2 linked regions of the Lytechinus pictus genome follow. The protein of the gene in region 1 binds, or shares a complex with, the protein of each later gene. Links are inferred from orthologs where the notes say so. Each region holds a gene or a part of one and is shown on either strand. Other genes may lie near its edges.

The links.
Region 2: the proteins of probable inactive tRNA-specific adenosine deaminase-like protein 3 (region 1) and tRNA-specific adenosine deaminase 2-like are in contact, whole or in part, in a crystal structure (PDB 9HMM), measured with the Mus musculus proteins. The link is inferred for Lytechinus pictus from reciprocal best matches to the Homo sapiens genes ADAT3 and ADAT2. Residues at the interface, in NP_001094076.1 of Mus musculus: Val217, Ala218, Pro220, Leu221, His223, Ile229, Asp230, Ala233, Gln236, Gly237, Glu270, Ser272, Pro274, Val276, Val290, Met291, Met294, Ala295, His298, Ala299, Pro311, Asp312, Leu318, Phe319, Val321, Arg324, Asp326, Leu327, Asn328, Pro349; in NP_080024.3 of Mus musculus: Val62, Asn63, Lys66, Asn67, Ala68, Thr69, His71, Met74, Ile77, Leu81, His85, Pro91, Cys107, Ile108, Met109, Ala112, Ala113, Leu116, Met117, Arg130, Phe131, Val137, Leu138, Ile140, Asp144, Leu145, Pro146, Asn147, Thr148.

The regions. Positions count from the first base shown.
Region 1 is NC_087251.1:23,066,454-23,073,557, forward strand, and holds the start of probable inactive tRNA-specific adenosine deaminase-like protein 3, read right to left. Parts: upstream 3,156-7,104; 5' UTR 2,927-3,155; coding exon 2,788-2,926; intron 1-2,787.
Region 2 is NC_087245.1:1,542,486-1,550,542, reverse strand, and holds the start of tRNA-specific adenosine deaminase 2-like, read left to right. Parts: upstream 1-5,046; 5' UTR 5,047-5,413; exon of another isoform or gene 5,414-5,448; intron 5,449-7,416; 5' UTR 7,417-7,419; coding exon 7,420-7,476; intron 7,477-7,676; coding exon 7,677-7,781; intron 7,782-8,057. Other genes in the region: integrator complex subunit 9-like, read right to left, coding at 4,897-4,905. UniProt on the Homo sapiens protein: Probably participates in deamination of adenosine-34 to inosine in many tRNAs.

The sequences.
Region 1 (7,104 bases):
CGGGGGGTCGACCCATGGGAACCGAGATGTTGGTACTCATAAGAACTGTACCCAGGCTGGGGATCACATCAGAGGCGGTATCCCTCACAGGCTGGTAGGTGGAGTCATCATGGTATCGGTCTAGAGGACATTGGAATTCCTCATCCTGGACAGTGGTGGCTATGGCATCAACCACAAAAGAGCTGGAGTGAACAACACCATGTTGGTAAATATGGACATCTGGGGGGTGTCCTTGGGGGACCAGGGCATCCTCAAGCTGAAGAGAATGTGGTGGATCCTGACGTAGATCAGGGATGGTACTTTGCTCAAAGCAGTCCATGGTGAACTTCCGATCAGCACCTGGATCAATGGCTCTAGTTGGGTTAACTGGAGATAACTGAATGTGAGACGATGGCTCGAGCATATACAGGCGCAGTTGATGTGTTGTCATGTCAACGGAGGTACTGCTCGCTTGGCTGATAGCGAGACCGGCTATTCTATCATTCGTACATGCGAACCGAACGGAGGTATTGTTAGTTTGGCCGATAGCGAGATCGAGAACGGCTATTCTATCATTCGAACATGCGAACCGAACGGAGGTATTGTTAGTTTGGCCGAGAGCGAGATCGAGAACGGCTATTCTATCATTCGAACATGCGAACCGAACAGAGGTATTGTTAGTTTGGCCGATAGCGAGATCGAGAACGGCTAGCCTATCGTTCGAATGTGTGAATCGAAAACGAGTGCCTGTATGTGAATGGTGCATGCACTGTTCGGGCGTGTGATGAGTGAACAGTGTATCAGAGCGCAAGAGCCTATCAGCCCCGTCAATGCAGGTAGAAGTTGGCACAATCTGGAAACCAGGAGTACTGCCAGGGATAACTGACAAGTCTTTGCACGTTTCATCTCTCTCTGATGAACCAACATAGCGAACATTGCTATCAACAACATCACAGAAATTCAACTGATCTTTACTCGCACCAAGTGTGCAAGTGCCTGATAACATATCAAGTGAAGGGGGATCACATCCCAGTCCAACAGTGAGTTCATGACCTTGGAAACGATCAGGCTCCGATAAACAATCATCATCGGTAGGAATACCCGGATTACATACCACATCATTGTGAGAACCATGATCATCATTAGCTACATGCATTGCCGACAACTCAGCAGCGCAACCATCAAGATTAACAGAATGTGTTACAAGGTCGGTTAAATCTAAATCTCCGGACGATATAGCTCTAGACCCATCTAACTCAACGCTAAACCTCGAAGAATCGCTAGTGTGAACAGGCCTACTCCAATCACCTGTCACTCCAATGTTACAACCATAATGAAACACGTCATGACTACTTCTTCCATCTTCTCGCAAAGCAATGTCATCAACATCACGACTGGGGATACCACCTTCGTCTGCATGTACAAAGCTAAACTCCTTGGCATTGTCTTTACGTTTATTTTCATCACTTCCATCATCAGATCTCAACTCATCATTAACATTGTCTTCATGTTTATTTTCATCACTTCCTACATCACATCTCAACTCATTATCATTGACATTGTCTTCATGTTTATTTACATCACTTCCTTCATCACATCTCAACTCAATATCATTGTCTTCGTGTTTATTTTCATCACATCCTTCAACGAATCTCAACTCATTATCATTGACATTGTCTTCAAGTTTATTTTCATCACATCTGAACACATTGACTTCATGTTTATTTTGATCACTTCTAATTCTATCATTACATCTGAACTCATTATCATTGACGTTGTCTTCGTGTTTATTTTCATCACTTCCTTCATCACATCTCAACTCACTGACATTATTTTTCTCACGTCCTGCATCATGTCTCAATTCATTGTCATTCAACTCATCTTCACAACAATCAAGATTTTGAGTTTGACTGACATGATATTGATAATTGTCATTGGCTAGCATTTGTCTGTCGAAACCAAAATGTATGCAAACAAGATCCCATATGTCTGCAAGTGAAGTGGACTTATTTACAATAGAACCTCTGGCGATAATCGGGCAAGAAGCTGAAATTTGCCCCAGCATGAGTTCCAAAACCACAACTTTCTGAGCGGCTGTCTTACCGCCAGCAACGTCAAAGGAATCGTCAACAAAACCCCGTACGGTATTTGCCTTCGACTTCCTTTGCCATGAAATACTCTCCGATAGAAAAGGCAAAAAATCAGTATATGAACACAAATTCATCATTAAACTACGCTTCCACTCTAGGAAGGATTCGGGAGTCTCGTACCGACTCAACCTGCGCAACTGTGCGGGCGCTTCCGCTGACTGCGTCATCGTATCGTACTATACGTGAGGCTATCATTATCAAAGCGTTACCTGTGTGTCGCTAACGCTGATGGAGGGATGAATCAGCCAGTTCAAATTGCAAAAATCACTACAGCTATAGTCCTAAACTGTCGATGCGTGACCCAGTTTTGGCCTAAAAATTCCTATGTGGCAGGGAACGAACCTAGCGCTGACACCACGACAATAAAAAGGGAGAAATTACCACATCAGATTGGGATGCAAAATGAACACCTTTATTCAACAAGGCCTAGGCTGAACATGCCGGCTAATATTTATACAATCATATGGTAGCTTCAAACAAACCAAACACAAACATTGGCGCCCGTTTTTTGTCTCGCCCGCGGCACATACCCACTACGTTTTTGGTCGAGTGCCCCCCCCCCCCCGGAAAATCGGCCCCTGATATTTACTCTCCAGGAGGCTCCAGACTACCCCCCCCCCCACCCCCCTTCATCGTTCCATTATCCATACCGCCTTACCGGTACCTTCTTCGAATTCGTCGACCTTAAGTTTGGATTCACACACTCTTCTCTTCTTAATTATTGGATGATGATGATCATGATGTGCAATCGTTGCTGATGATCGAATCGATCCAGGGCCTCCATTGTTGGCCTCCATACCATTGACTAGTAATTAGTATAACAAGCAGCAGCTAGCTACTCGTAGGGTATCTTTGCGAGGAGTAATCGCACGGATACTACGCCGCGGCCAGCGGGGCGCCGGCGCGGCCGGGCCGGACGCGTCGCGTCATCGGGTAGGCCAAGGTGCGCTGGGCTCGCATTCAGGTAGAGATCTTCGAGCTTTACGTGCAAGCAGCAATATGGGGTTGACGCGCGTGCATAAAACTGAACATGACGAACAAAAAGACTACGATGTAAGATATGGGTGGATTCATGACACAAAATATTTGGGGGTGTTTTGTTTCGGTAGCTAGTGGGACATAGCATACCGTCATTCGTTTTCCCCTTTCATTTTCAATATAATTATGAAAACAAATAAAACTGTCCACGTCATTATTCGTGCACTCCCATTTTGACAATTGTGTTTTTTAATTGGATAGAATGCTTCATAACCAGGCGCCGATCCGGGGGGGGGGGGGCTGAAGGCGCGATATACCCCGTATGATTTTTTAAAAGAAATAAAAAGAGAGACAAATTGACAAATATAGGTGAAAACCTTTTTTTTTTGCTTGTAAAATTTCCAAAGGGTAGAATGTGCCACCCCTTAAAAATCCTGGATCCTGTAGCACCCTAGTTGTAAAATTTCTCGATTCGCGCCTGATTGAACTGGTAGAAGACAAAATCGAGAAGTCCTTAATTGGACATAAAAATGGAGGATGGTGACGAGTGGCGTGCCCCAGGGGTCAATCTTCGGTCCCAGCCTCGGGCGTCAATATTTAGTCATATTTGTATATCCTGTTCATGATTACAAAAAGTGCTGTGTCAATTTTTAAGGTCGGAATGTCAAAAAAATTTAGCTCGCGCTTCGTGCGCTAGCATTATTTATTTTTTTTAATCAGGACTTTGACGTAAACAGCAAGGTAGCTGATCTGTTACCCTGTATAAATATTTTTGCTAAATAAATAAAATGAATAAATTTCATAGTTGAAATATTTCTCGTCTTTATGGCTAACTGCAAACAGTCCGTAACAGGTCCCTTCTCGATCAGGCCAGAACGTATTTTAAAAAATTCTGCTCGCGTTTCGCGTTCGCAATATTTAAATAGGACTAAAATATATTTATGTAGTTTTAAATTAATAAAGCTATAAAGTGACTGTTAGGACTATACCCCTTCAAATAAACACACAAAATCTTACAAGATTTTGGCGATGACAAATCCCTACGTTTAGTACATTGCAAATGTTATATCCCCTGCATAGCATGAGAGTATGCATACGTCCATTTATGAATTGTATGATACAAATTATTTTTTTAATATGGTTATAGCTGATCATGACCCAATCAAAAATCCTTTGAATACACTGGCGTGAATGTTGGGGGAAGTTTTACTATCCTAGCATCTTTTTGGAAGCGGGGGATTTTGGACAAAAATATAGGCTAAATCAATGTCACACAGAGGCAAGTTAGGACACCGATATTTAAAAAATATTTACAATTTCATCCGTTTATTGGAGACCTAAAATCACATTAATTCCATAACAATCTAATAAATATTTCAAATATTAATTTTATTCAAATTTTTCAATGTTGCATCATCTCCAAATATAATCTTAAAAACTATTCAAAACCTTTTTTTTCTGCAATATGTTTCTTTTGATTTGCACGATTGTGGTATTTCCACCTTTTTGGAAGTTTATATTGTTGCCTGTAATACCTATAATCATAAAGTACCCTTATTCCCGATTCATGATCCATTCTCATCTCATCTTTAACCAGTGAGCAAGTGAGTTTTCATTGAACAAAATATGGACAGTTACTACTTACTACCTACCATTTACTTCTATGCTCACTCGTTGCATCTCTCCCACTATATCGCACACCCCTTGACAGACGATTTTGTTCATCATTCTGCCTTCCAACTATCATAAAAAATTCTCCCTCGCTTCGCTCGCTCTCATATTGATATTTACTGTAATTCATTATATATTCCAACAAATCCATTACAATAAATCCATTGGAAAAAATCATGATAGGCCTTTAACTGAAATATGATAATATGAATTTACAGTATATACGTATACATTGCCCGTGATGTGATAATTACACACCACTTGAAAAGAGGTTTTGGACACCCTTTTGTCTCCCTTATACTACGGAAAATTTGCTGGCTCCCTTCGCTCGGTCGCATATTGGTATTAATTGCAATTCATTTAATTGCAATTCATTACTTTATAGCCCAAAAATCGTTTTAGGCCTTAAACTGAAATATGGTAGTATTATGAACATGCATGGTTATAATACCCCCGTATACATCCCCCCTTGGTGTGGGGGTGTCCCAAATTTTTTGAATTTTCAGGTCAATATATTGCAATCATCCCCCCATGCACTGCTCGGACCGGATATGTGACTCTTCACGTTTACAGAGCTAGTGCAAAAGCTTCACGTTCGCGTATTCTGGGGGTGCTTTCGGGGCCCGGGCCTCCCGGGTTGGCAAAAAAGGGGGCTCCAAAAAGAAGAAGAAAAGAGAAGAAAACAAAAGGGGTGAAAAAAGGAGGGAAAGAAGAAAAGAAAGAGAAAGAAAGGGAAAGAAAGAGAGATGGGGAAAAGAGGGAAAGGGGTGCCGGATTGATATTCGAATGGATGGGGGGGGCCTCAAATTGATGTTCGACTTAGTGGCGTAGATTTGATGTTATAGGGGGCGCCGAATTTATATTCGACATAAGGGGCGCCGAATTTATGTTTGACATAGCGGGCGCCGATTTGATGTTCTACCAAGGGGCGCTGATTTGATGTGTTACCTAGGGGGGGGGGGGGCGCCGAATTTATGTTTTACTAAGGGGCGCCGAATTGATGTTCTGTTCGACATAGGCTGGCGCGGAATTGAAGTTTGGCATAGGGGCGCCAAATTGATCTTCAACCTATATAGGGGGGTGCCGAATTGATGTTCGACCTAGGAGCGCCGAATTGATGTTTATTGGAGTTCGACATAGGGGGCGCCGAATTGATGTTCTGTTCGACATAGGCTTGCGCCGAATTGAAGTTTGGCATATGGGCGCCAAATTGATCTTCAACCTAGGGGGGTGCCGAATTGATGTTCGACCTAGGGGCGCGTCGAATTGATGTTTTACTTCGATGCGCCGCATTGATGTTCGACATAGGGGGCGCCAAATTGATGTTCGACCTAGGGGCGCCTATATAAGAGCACCAATTTGATGTTTGTCCCGAGGCGCCAAATTCATGTTCAACCTATATAGGAAGGGAAGCCGAATTCATATTCGACCTTTGGGGCGTCAATTTGATGTTTGTCCTGAGGCGCCAAATTCATGTTCAACCTATATAGGGTGGGGCACCAAATTCATATTCGACCATTCAGGCGCCAATCTCATGTTTGACCGGGGGCGCCAAAATCATGTTTCACGTGAGTTTGGTGCTCGCGCTCGTATCAAATGCAAAGTTCGATGTCCATCCTGTTTATGATTACCAAAAGTGCATAGAAAGTCAATTTTAGGTCAGAATATCAATATTTTTCAGCTCGAGCTTCACACTCGCATCAATTATTTTATAAAGATGCATCCATTCCTGTTCATGGTTACAAAAAGTGCTTAGAATGTCCAGGTTTGGGTCGGAAATTCAAAAATTTTCAGCTCTTGACATAAATATCATCCCCTTCCTGATTAACAAAAGTGCTTACAGACTTTCCAAATTTGAGGTCAGAATATCAAAAATTTTCAGCTCGAGTTTCGCACTCGCATCAATAAAAAATTGTTTAGATACCCATCATGTTCACGGTTACTAAAAGTGCTTAGAATATCCGATCTGGAAACATATAGATGAAATATCTTCCACTCCCCCCCCCCTCCTATAAACGAAAGCTGGATCCGCCCCTGGTAAATAAATGTCAGATCCCGCTCACATAATCTCCGTAGGGAATGCTCTGATGAGAAGCAGAAACCCCAAAGTGCTTAAAATTCTATGCTTTCAGGGGGCCGTTTCATAAAGCTAATCGTAAGTTAAGATCGAGCGACTTTAATAACTACTGGTGATCCTTTCTTTTTAGAGCGTAAGAAAGGTTCACCAGTCGTTCTTAAAGTCGCTTTTAACTTACGAACAGCTTTATGAAACACCCACCTGGTCAATTTTTTTTTCAAAAAGTGGTATGACAACATATTCATGGAT
Region 2 (8,057 bases), on another chromosome or scaffold:
CATTGTTTATGCTCACTCACCCCCCACACCTTGCACAAATCATACTCTAAACACTTGGGGCAAAAAGTACATCCTTTACAAAAAAATTTAGTCTTAATTTTTAGACCCTCGCAAATTTGACCTAAACACTCGACACGTAGCTTTCCTAGCGAAAATAGATACCCTTTTTTCAATATTTTAGTGTTTTTGACACCCTTATTACATTAAGTATGTAATGTGCACTATCTTTAAAAAGACATCCAAGTGTTTTGCCTTGGGGGTCTTTTCTTTCCTAATTAATTCTTTCTTCAAATCAACCTTTCTTCTAATATTCCTTCTTGCTTGTCCTTGGCTTTTGCAATGTAATGCCTAAAAGTATAGGCGACAATGCCTAGTTCTTTAGAAGAAGTTAGACTTTCTGACAGTGTTGGGAAACGGGCCCAAGGCCCAGCCAGGTGGGGAATTTGCTCGAAGATCGAAGACGAAGTCGGCCGGCGCGGTTGCACGAACGCTAACAACAGCAAAGCTAGGCGTCTTGGACTCGTCCTTGCCGCCTGCCTTGCCCGGCTGACAATGACAATGATTTTATTTCTTTGACGGCCCCTCCTGGGGGCATAGAAGAAATATAACAACTTACAACAATGGCAATAATAGGCATAAGAAAAAAATACCAAGGTAACAAGAATCAAACATGATGATAATAAACATATGTACAATACAAGAGCAGTAATAGAAATAGAAACGGGCACAAATTAACCCACCCACTCCCGACATGCCAGAGAGTATCTGGAGACCGGTACCCCACTTAGCATGTGCAGGTGCAATCCAACAAAATCTGAAATCATGCCCTAATACAAGAAAGTAACCAAGACAGCAACTACACTTAAGATATTAAAATTTTGACATAATGAATTTACAAAATCTTGACAGATTTTTCAAGTCTTTTGTATTTCGCATATTAAACAACTTGTGCATTTTAATCACGTTTGGTCTGACAAAATAATACCCTCTAATTAAAGCTTTCCTTTCACTTTCAAAAGCAGGACAATTAAACACATAATGAATCTCGTCTCCTGGCTCATGCGAGTCACATAGAGTACAAGTTTGCAAACCTTGATTAGGCAGGTAACGACCATTAGCAATTGGCAATCTATGATTTCCACAACGATATTTACAGAGTTCAATCCTATCTGCAAAATCTAATTTCACTAAATAGTTCTCAAACCCAAAATCTTGTTTGAATATCCTATAATTCATGCACAAACGGTTTCTATTAATTTCAGTATTCAATTCCTGTTTAGCAATATCATCCAATCTGAGACTCACAGTTGACTTAACCCACTTAACGTCCAAGACTATATTCTCAACACTCCACAGGTTAGACATCCCACATCTATCCAAAATGTTTTTCACTTTTACTATCCATGGTGACTTATAAAGGTCCCTATCATGAAGTTGACGCAAAAGCCTATAAATCATACTTGACAATTTAGATTTTCCATTTACACTTTGACGAATCCTTGCCCAAAAATTTATCATACGCTTTTCAATAATATAAAGCAGACTGACTCTTCCCAATTCGCCATATGCCATACAATTCGCAGACCCTCGACTAAGTCCAAGGAGGCTTTTTATAAACTTCTTATGAAACATTTCAATACAATCTACATCACCAAACCCCCAAATTTCACTACCATATAACAAAATTGGTACCACCAGCTGATCAAACAATTCACATTGAATGTCCAAAGGCAAACTCAACACATTGGCCTTACTTTTAAGATTAAACATTGCTCTCCTAGCCTGATTAACTTGCTTTTTCATAGCTTTCTTGAAGGAGCCATTGTAATTAAAAGTGGTACCTAAATAAATATAATCCTCTACGACGTCAAGAGCAGTATCCCCAAACAAAAACTCTGGATATTTACGAACCTTTCCACGTGAGAAAATCACAACTTTAGTCTTGCTTGTATTAACAGAAAGTTTCCACTGCTCACAATATTGATGAACAGCCGACAGAGCAGACTGAAGTTCTTGAGCCGACTCAGCCAATATTATTGTATCGTCAGCATATAATAAAACATATAGTCGTAAGAAAACTTCCACATCATCATTGCTCAGGTAGTCCCTTATTAGAGAAGAGCACATATTTAAGCCTTTATAATACCGACTAACAAAATATTCAAAATCATTAAGAAAAACTGCAAAGAGCAAAGGAGATAAATTTTCACCCTGACGCACTCCGATATTACAGGTAAAGAAATCAGAAATGTTATATCCATACTTTATGCATGATTTAGCATTTTCATACATATTATAAACAACACTAATAATCTTCCCATTGATACCACATGAAATCAACTTCGACCAGAGACTAGATCTGTCAACAAGGTCAAAGGCTTTTCTGTAGTCAATAAAGGCACAGTAAATTCTCTTCGCATCGTGTAGATACAAATCGATCAAACCATGTAATGTAAATATGTGATCAAGGGTACTATGACTTTCTCTAAACCCTGCCTGCTCATTGCCTAAAATTCCTGCACATTCCAAATAATTGGAAAGCCTAGAGTTAATACAAGCAGTGAACAATTTACCTACACAACTCAACAAAGTCATTGAAGAATGGACTAGGATATTAGACGATAGCCAACCTATTGATGTTTTATATCTAGACTTTAAGAAGGCTTTTGATGCAGTACCTCATGAAAGACTTTTATTGAAGCTGAAAGCTTATGGAATTGAGAACCCTCTTCTTGCCTGGATTAGTGCCTTCCTGAAAGGCAGAAAGCAAAGAGTGGCTATAAATGGAGTGACATCATCTTGGACAGATGTTAAGAGTGGTATACCGCAAGGGAGTATCCTCGGGCCAATCCTATTTGTCATTTTTATTAATGATTTGCCTAGTGACATAAACTCCAGGATCTTACTCTTTGCGGATGATACTAAGATGTACAGAGCAGTAGGGAATGATGAAGAATCCAAGGCCTTACAGGCAGACCTGTCCAAACTTACCATGTGGGCTGAAAAATGGCAACTTCCTTTCAACCAGAATAAGTGTACAGTTCTTCACTTTGGGAGAAATAACAAGAAAGATAAATATCACATGAATGGAGATGAAGTTGCCTCATCTACCAGAGAAAAGGACCTGGGAGTATTGATTGACTCGGAACTCAAATTTCATGAGCATATATCAATGGAAGTAAGCAAAGCCTATCAGCTCCTTGGTATCATCAGACGGACTTTCACTCAACTGGACACAAGGACCCTACCAATTTTGTTTAAGACATTGGTAAGACCACACCTAGAGTATGGCAACATCTTGTGGAACACTCAATGGAAAGAAGATGCGGATAAAATTGAGAAAGTCCAGAGAAGAGCAACTAAGATGGTGCAGGAGATAAAAGAACTCCCCTACTCAGATAGATTAAAAGTATTGGACTTACACTCCCTGTATTATAGAAGAAGGAGAGGCGATGCCATTATGGTATTTAAAATACTGAAAGGAATGGTCAAGATGGACTCAAGTCACTTTTTCTTGCCATCAACTAATTCTAGGGACAGTGATTTTCCGCGATCGCGGAAAACGGACGGAATTCACGGAAAGGGCCTTTTGAAACGGAAAGTGGCATTTCAAACGGAAAATCACGGAAAACGTATTTTCCCTAAAAATACACAGAATAGCAACAGAAATTACTCCGAAATCACAACAAAATGAGAATATTAAATGGCCACAAAACCCCAGAAAACACGATCTCACTTCGCTACTATCATGACAATTCACACGTCGTGACTGCACTCGACATCACCACACTCGATTGTACCCCGCACCGTAGCCGTACCCGGCGCCCGGCCGGCCGGGTTGGGCTTCACATGCACACATATCGTTCAACTACACGGTTGTGTGTTGCTGCCCTCTACCTTAGAAGATGTAACAGCACGATATCGTGGTCTTAAAATCCAAGATGGCGGATTGGCAAAAGCCGTTTACTGATGATAACGATGTCCAAAAAACCCCAAAATTATCGATGAAATATCATTTCATCGTGAAATAATGCTAATGATGTGAAAGGTGAGGATGTATGCATGCTAAATGGGTTTGTAAAAATATTTTATGCACCCGCATAGATCCGATTAGAACAGATTCTATTGTGTTGTTGGTACAGGCTAGTAGCAGATACAAATTTTGACCAGTGCGAGTGTACGTGTTGTGATTTTGCTATTCAATGTGTAAACGGAATTGTCACTTTTCCGTGTGTACAAAGTCTATGGGGAAACAGAATTTACGTTTTCTGACATGCTGAAACGGAATTTGAGATTTTCTGAAACGGAAAAGGCAATTTTTTGAAACGGAAAATCACTGTCCCTATAATTCACATCTTCGAGGTCATACGTTAAAGATATTTAAAGAACGATCAAGACTCGACATACGCAAATGCGTTTTTACTAGTAACCGGGTAGTGAATGACTGGAATAGCCTCCCCCAAGAAGTTATTTGACTCAGGCTCCATCGATGTATTCAAATTAAGACTCGATAAGTTTTGGTGGTCTGAGCGTTTCAATCTCCAAGTCCAAATGATCAAAACCGTCTCTACCCTACACGTGTGCAAGTTTTTGTTCTTATGACTTATGACGTAATAACACATCGTATGGAGATGGACTGCAATTTTCAGATGAAGAGATCGAGGTCAACAGGATTACCTCACCTCGTAACATGATGATGATGATGATGAATTATCAGGATCATCCACTGAACCTTTGAATCTGCTGGATTAACATAGCCCCACATGCTAGCATTCATGTTGTTGTTTGTGTGAATGATTGATAGCTGACTGATCATTAATTGGCTGTAACTAATAGACACACAAACACACACTTCAACAATAACATAACGGCAGGAGGTCGGATAGGTTTTCTTACCAATTTCATTCTGGCTATTCCGGCTTCTTATATAAAATGCAGGATATTCTTGCAGTGTTTTCTTTTGCTCGCCTCAGCTCAGTTCAGATGGGTATACCGTTCAGATGGTATGGTACGGTATCCTCGCGATAATAAAATACGGAAGAAATTAAGGACGGGCGCGATCGATCGCGAGACGAGTGTGGTTGCGGGGGATCCCTCGCCCGCGCCCCCGGCCCGGGTAACGCTAGGTACAGGTACCGGTACCGTACTTAAACCGCGCCTGCGCCTGTACCAGGTACTGTTGCCGCGGCCGGTCAACCAGACGCCATATGCACCTCATGTCATGTACTTATCAGCGGTTGTCCGCGGGTTGGTTATTGACTACGGTACATTACATGTACCAGTTGGAGATTCTCTTAACGAGTATTTTTAATCAGATTTACCGGTATCTGAGCCTGATCTGAGGCAGTGGGTCGTTACGTCAGCAGCAAGACGCCAAGACTCAAGAGTGACAGATAGGCATGATACTTGATAGGTGCGAGGAGGGTAAACTTTTAATTTTGGATTAAGGTAAGTGGCAAGGCAAGGATGATCGAGAGATTGAGCCGAGGTTTCACTAATTGTGAAATCTCAGTCAGGCTCAGCTCAATCTCTCGATCAGCATCCATGCCTTGCCACTAGTGTCTAGTATAGTCTAGACTAGACAGCTGCTGAGCTGGCAGGCATCTGTTTCGAGGAGTTTTTTAACATTTTTTTTTTAATGTCTCCTCGTACACAGACGGCTCGCTTAGCCTGGACTGGAGTGGAGGCTTCTGGGGAGTAAAAGTCATCTACTATACGTAGGCTGGAGTAAGCCTACGACTTCCGTATAGTAGATGACTTTTACTCCCCAGAAAACTAGCCTCCAGGACCAGAGTCCAGGCTAGGCTCGCTATCGTGCAGCCACGCATAGGCCCTAGGGGTTAACAATGCAAAATCCCCCCGACGGGGCTCATCGATTTTTGTCTTTATTTCATAAAAATATATAAAAAGAACTGTACCAAAATAAAGATTATTATATTATTCTGTTTTGGCCTGAAATGCACCAAAATGGGGAAAAAACTTCAAAGGGGGAAACACAGTGACTTACTTTGGCTGTCGCGCAACTTCATTTCCCAGTTTTATCCGAACTTAATACATAAACATATGGCCATCGAGTCCCTGTACAGATTGAGCTAGAACTTCGGTCTCTGTATTTGGTGAGTGGAGCCAACGAGTTCAGCGGAACAACCAACATAACATTAACAGAGACCGAAGCTTTTGGTCTAAGTCTAGACACTAGCCAGGCATCTAGCATGTCTAACATTAGGCCTAGATCTACACTGGATACAGAAAGAGACATCAAACTCAAAGTCCTTAACATTTATTTTAAGATTTCCTCTTGCAAATGATTCGAACTGTGTCTGGTTAACCTTTTGAAGAAATATGAGCAGTAGAGGCGCATGGCTGATATTTGAGTCTTTCTCCAATTTTGGAGACAATCTCTGATATTGGAGACATGCTTTGCAAAAGAGATAGGCAACAACACTGAACTAGAAAGTTAATTCCCCTCCAAAATTTGCAGCTAGGTCAAAACCACATGATAACAAAATATAAATGAAAACAAAAGTAGATGGAGAATTCTTGAGCATATATGGTTAAGAGGAGTAATTTTGCCACCATGGTAATCCCTCTGACGCAAATGTTAAACAGAAAAAATCTTGCATAGTGGAGACTGGCTCTTAAAGGGATGGTCCTGGCTGGAAATATATCTCGATAAAGTAGAGTAATATTCACAGAGCAAAATGCTGACAATTTTATCAAAATCGGATAACAAATAACAAAACTATTGAATTTTAAAGATTTGCATTATTCCGGTGAAACAGTTATAGGCATGTCTTTATGAATATTCATTAGGTGGGCTGATGATGTCATATCCCCACTTGTTCGTTTGTATTTTATTATATATGAAATTTGGTTTATTCAAATTTTTTCTACCAAAAACTAAAACAATTGAATTGACAACTGATTAAGTGCATTAGTTATTTATTGCCGCAACTTATTTCATAATGCAGAAATATCATTTACACATGTATGAAAAAATGAAACATTTATGATTTCATGTAATAACATAAGAAAAAGGAAAGTGGGGATGTGACATAATCAGCCCACCAAATGAATATTCATGACGATGTGCGTATAACTGTTTTCACAAAATATGGATAAACTTTAAAATTCAATAACTTCATTATTTGTTTTCCAATTTTAATCTTATTTTCAGCATTTTGCTCTGTGAATTTTACTCTTTTTATTTAGATATATAAATATTTTCAGCCCGGACCATCCCTTTAAATTGAATACTGATGTACAGGATATAATCTCCAGAATGGGAGAGAGTCTCCAACATTGGCCGTATGCCTCTACTGAGCTTCAAAGTTCAATAATATTAGTAAAATAATATTGATATTTAACTTGTAGATGAAAAGAAACAATTTAAATTATCATCTTTTTTTATTACAGACCATGGAACTGTATGACGAAGCTTATGATGAAAAATGGATGAAGCAAGCAGTGTGCATGGTTTGTATCCAATTACTATGGGACTGAAAATGAATGGTTACATATTTTTAAAAAGTTCTGTTAGTGATGTTAATAACACTCAGAAACCCTAACTACCATGTCTACTCTTTAGATTGCTTGTAATAGATGTAGCAAAATGTTTTGTAGTGAACAATGGTCAGTTCCCTATGAGAAATTAAGATATGTTTTCTTTTGTGCAGGGTAAGCAGGCCCTAAGTAGAGGAGAGGTCCCAGTAGGTTGTCTCCTTGTGTATAATGATCAGATCATAGGGACAGGAGGAAATGCTGTCAACCAAACCAAAAATGTAAGTTATACTGCTTATTACACACTTTGAAGCTGCAGAAAAGATAAAACTTTGTACTAAGGGATCAGAGCACTATATTATTGATGTCATTTTGCACCTCTTGCAGTCTGCACCTCAGGGTGCAAAGTTTGAATCTTAATTTATTAGTAAGCAGTACTACCACATCCTATCCATATATTGACATGAAAAGTCCATCATTGTAGCTGAAACCAGGGCGTCCCTGCTGAAACTCAGATAAGAATTCCCATGATTGATACACTCCAGGTCTCATATCAG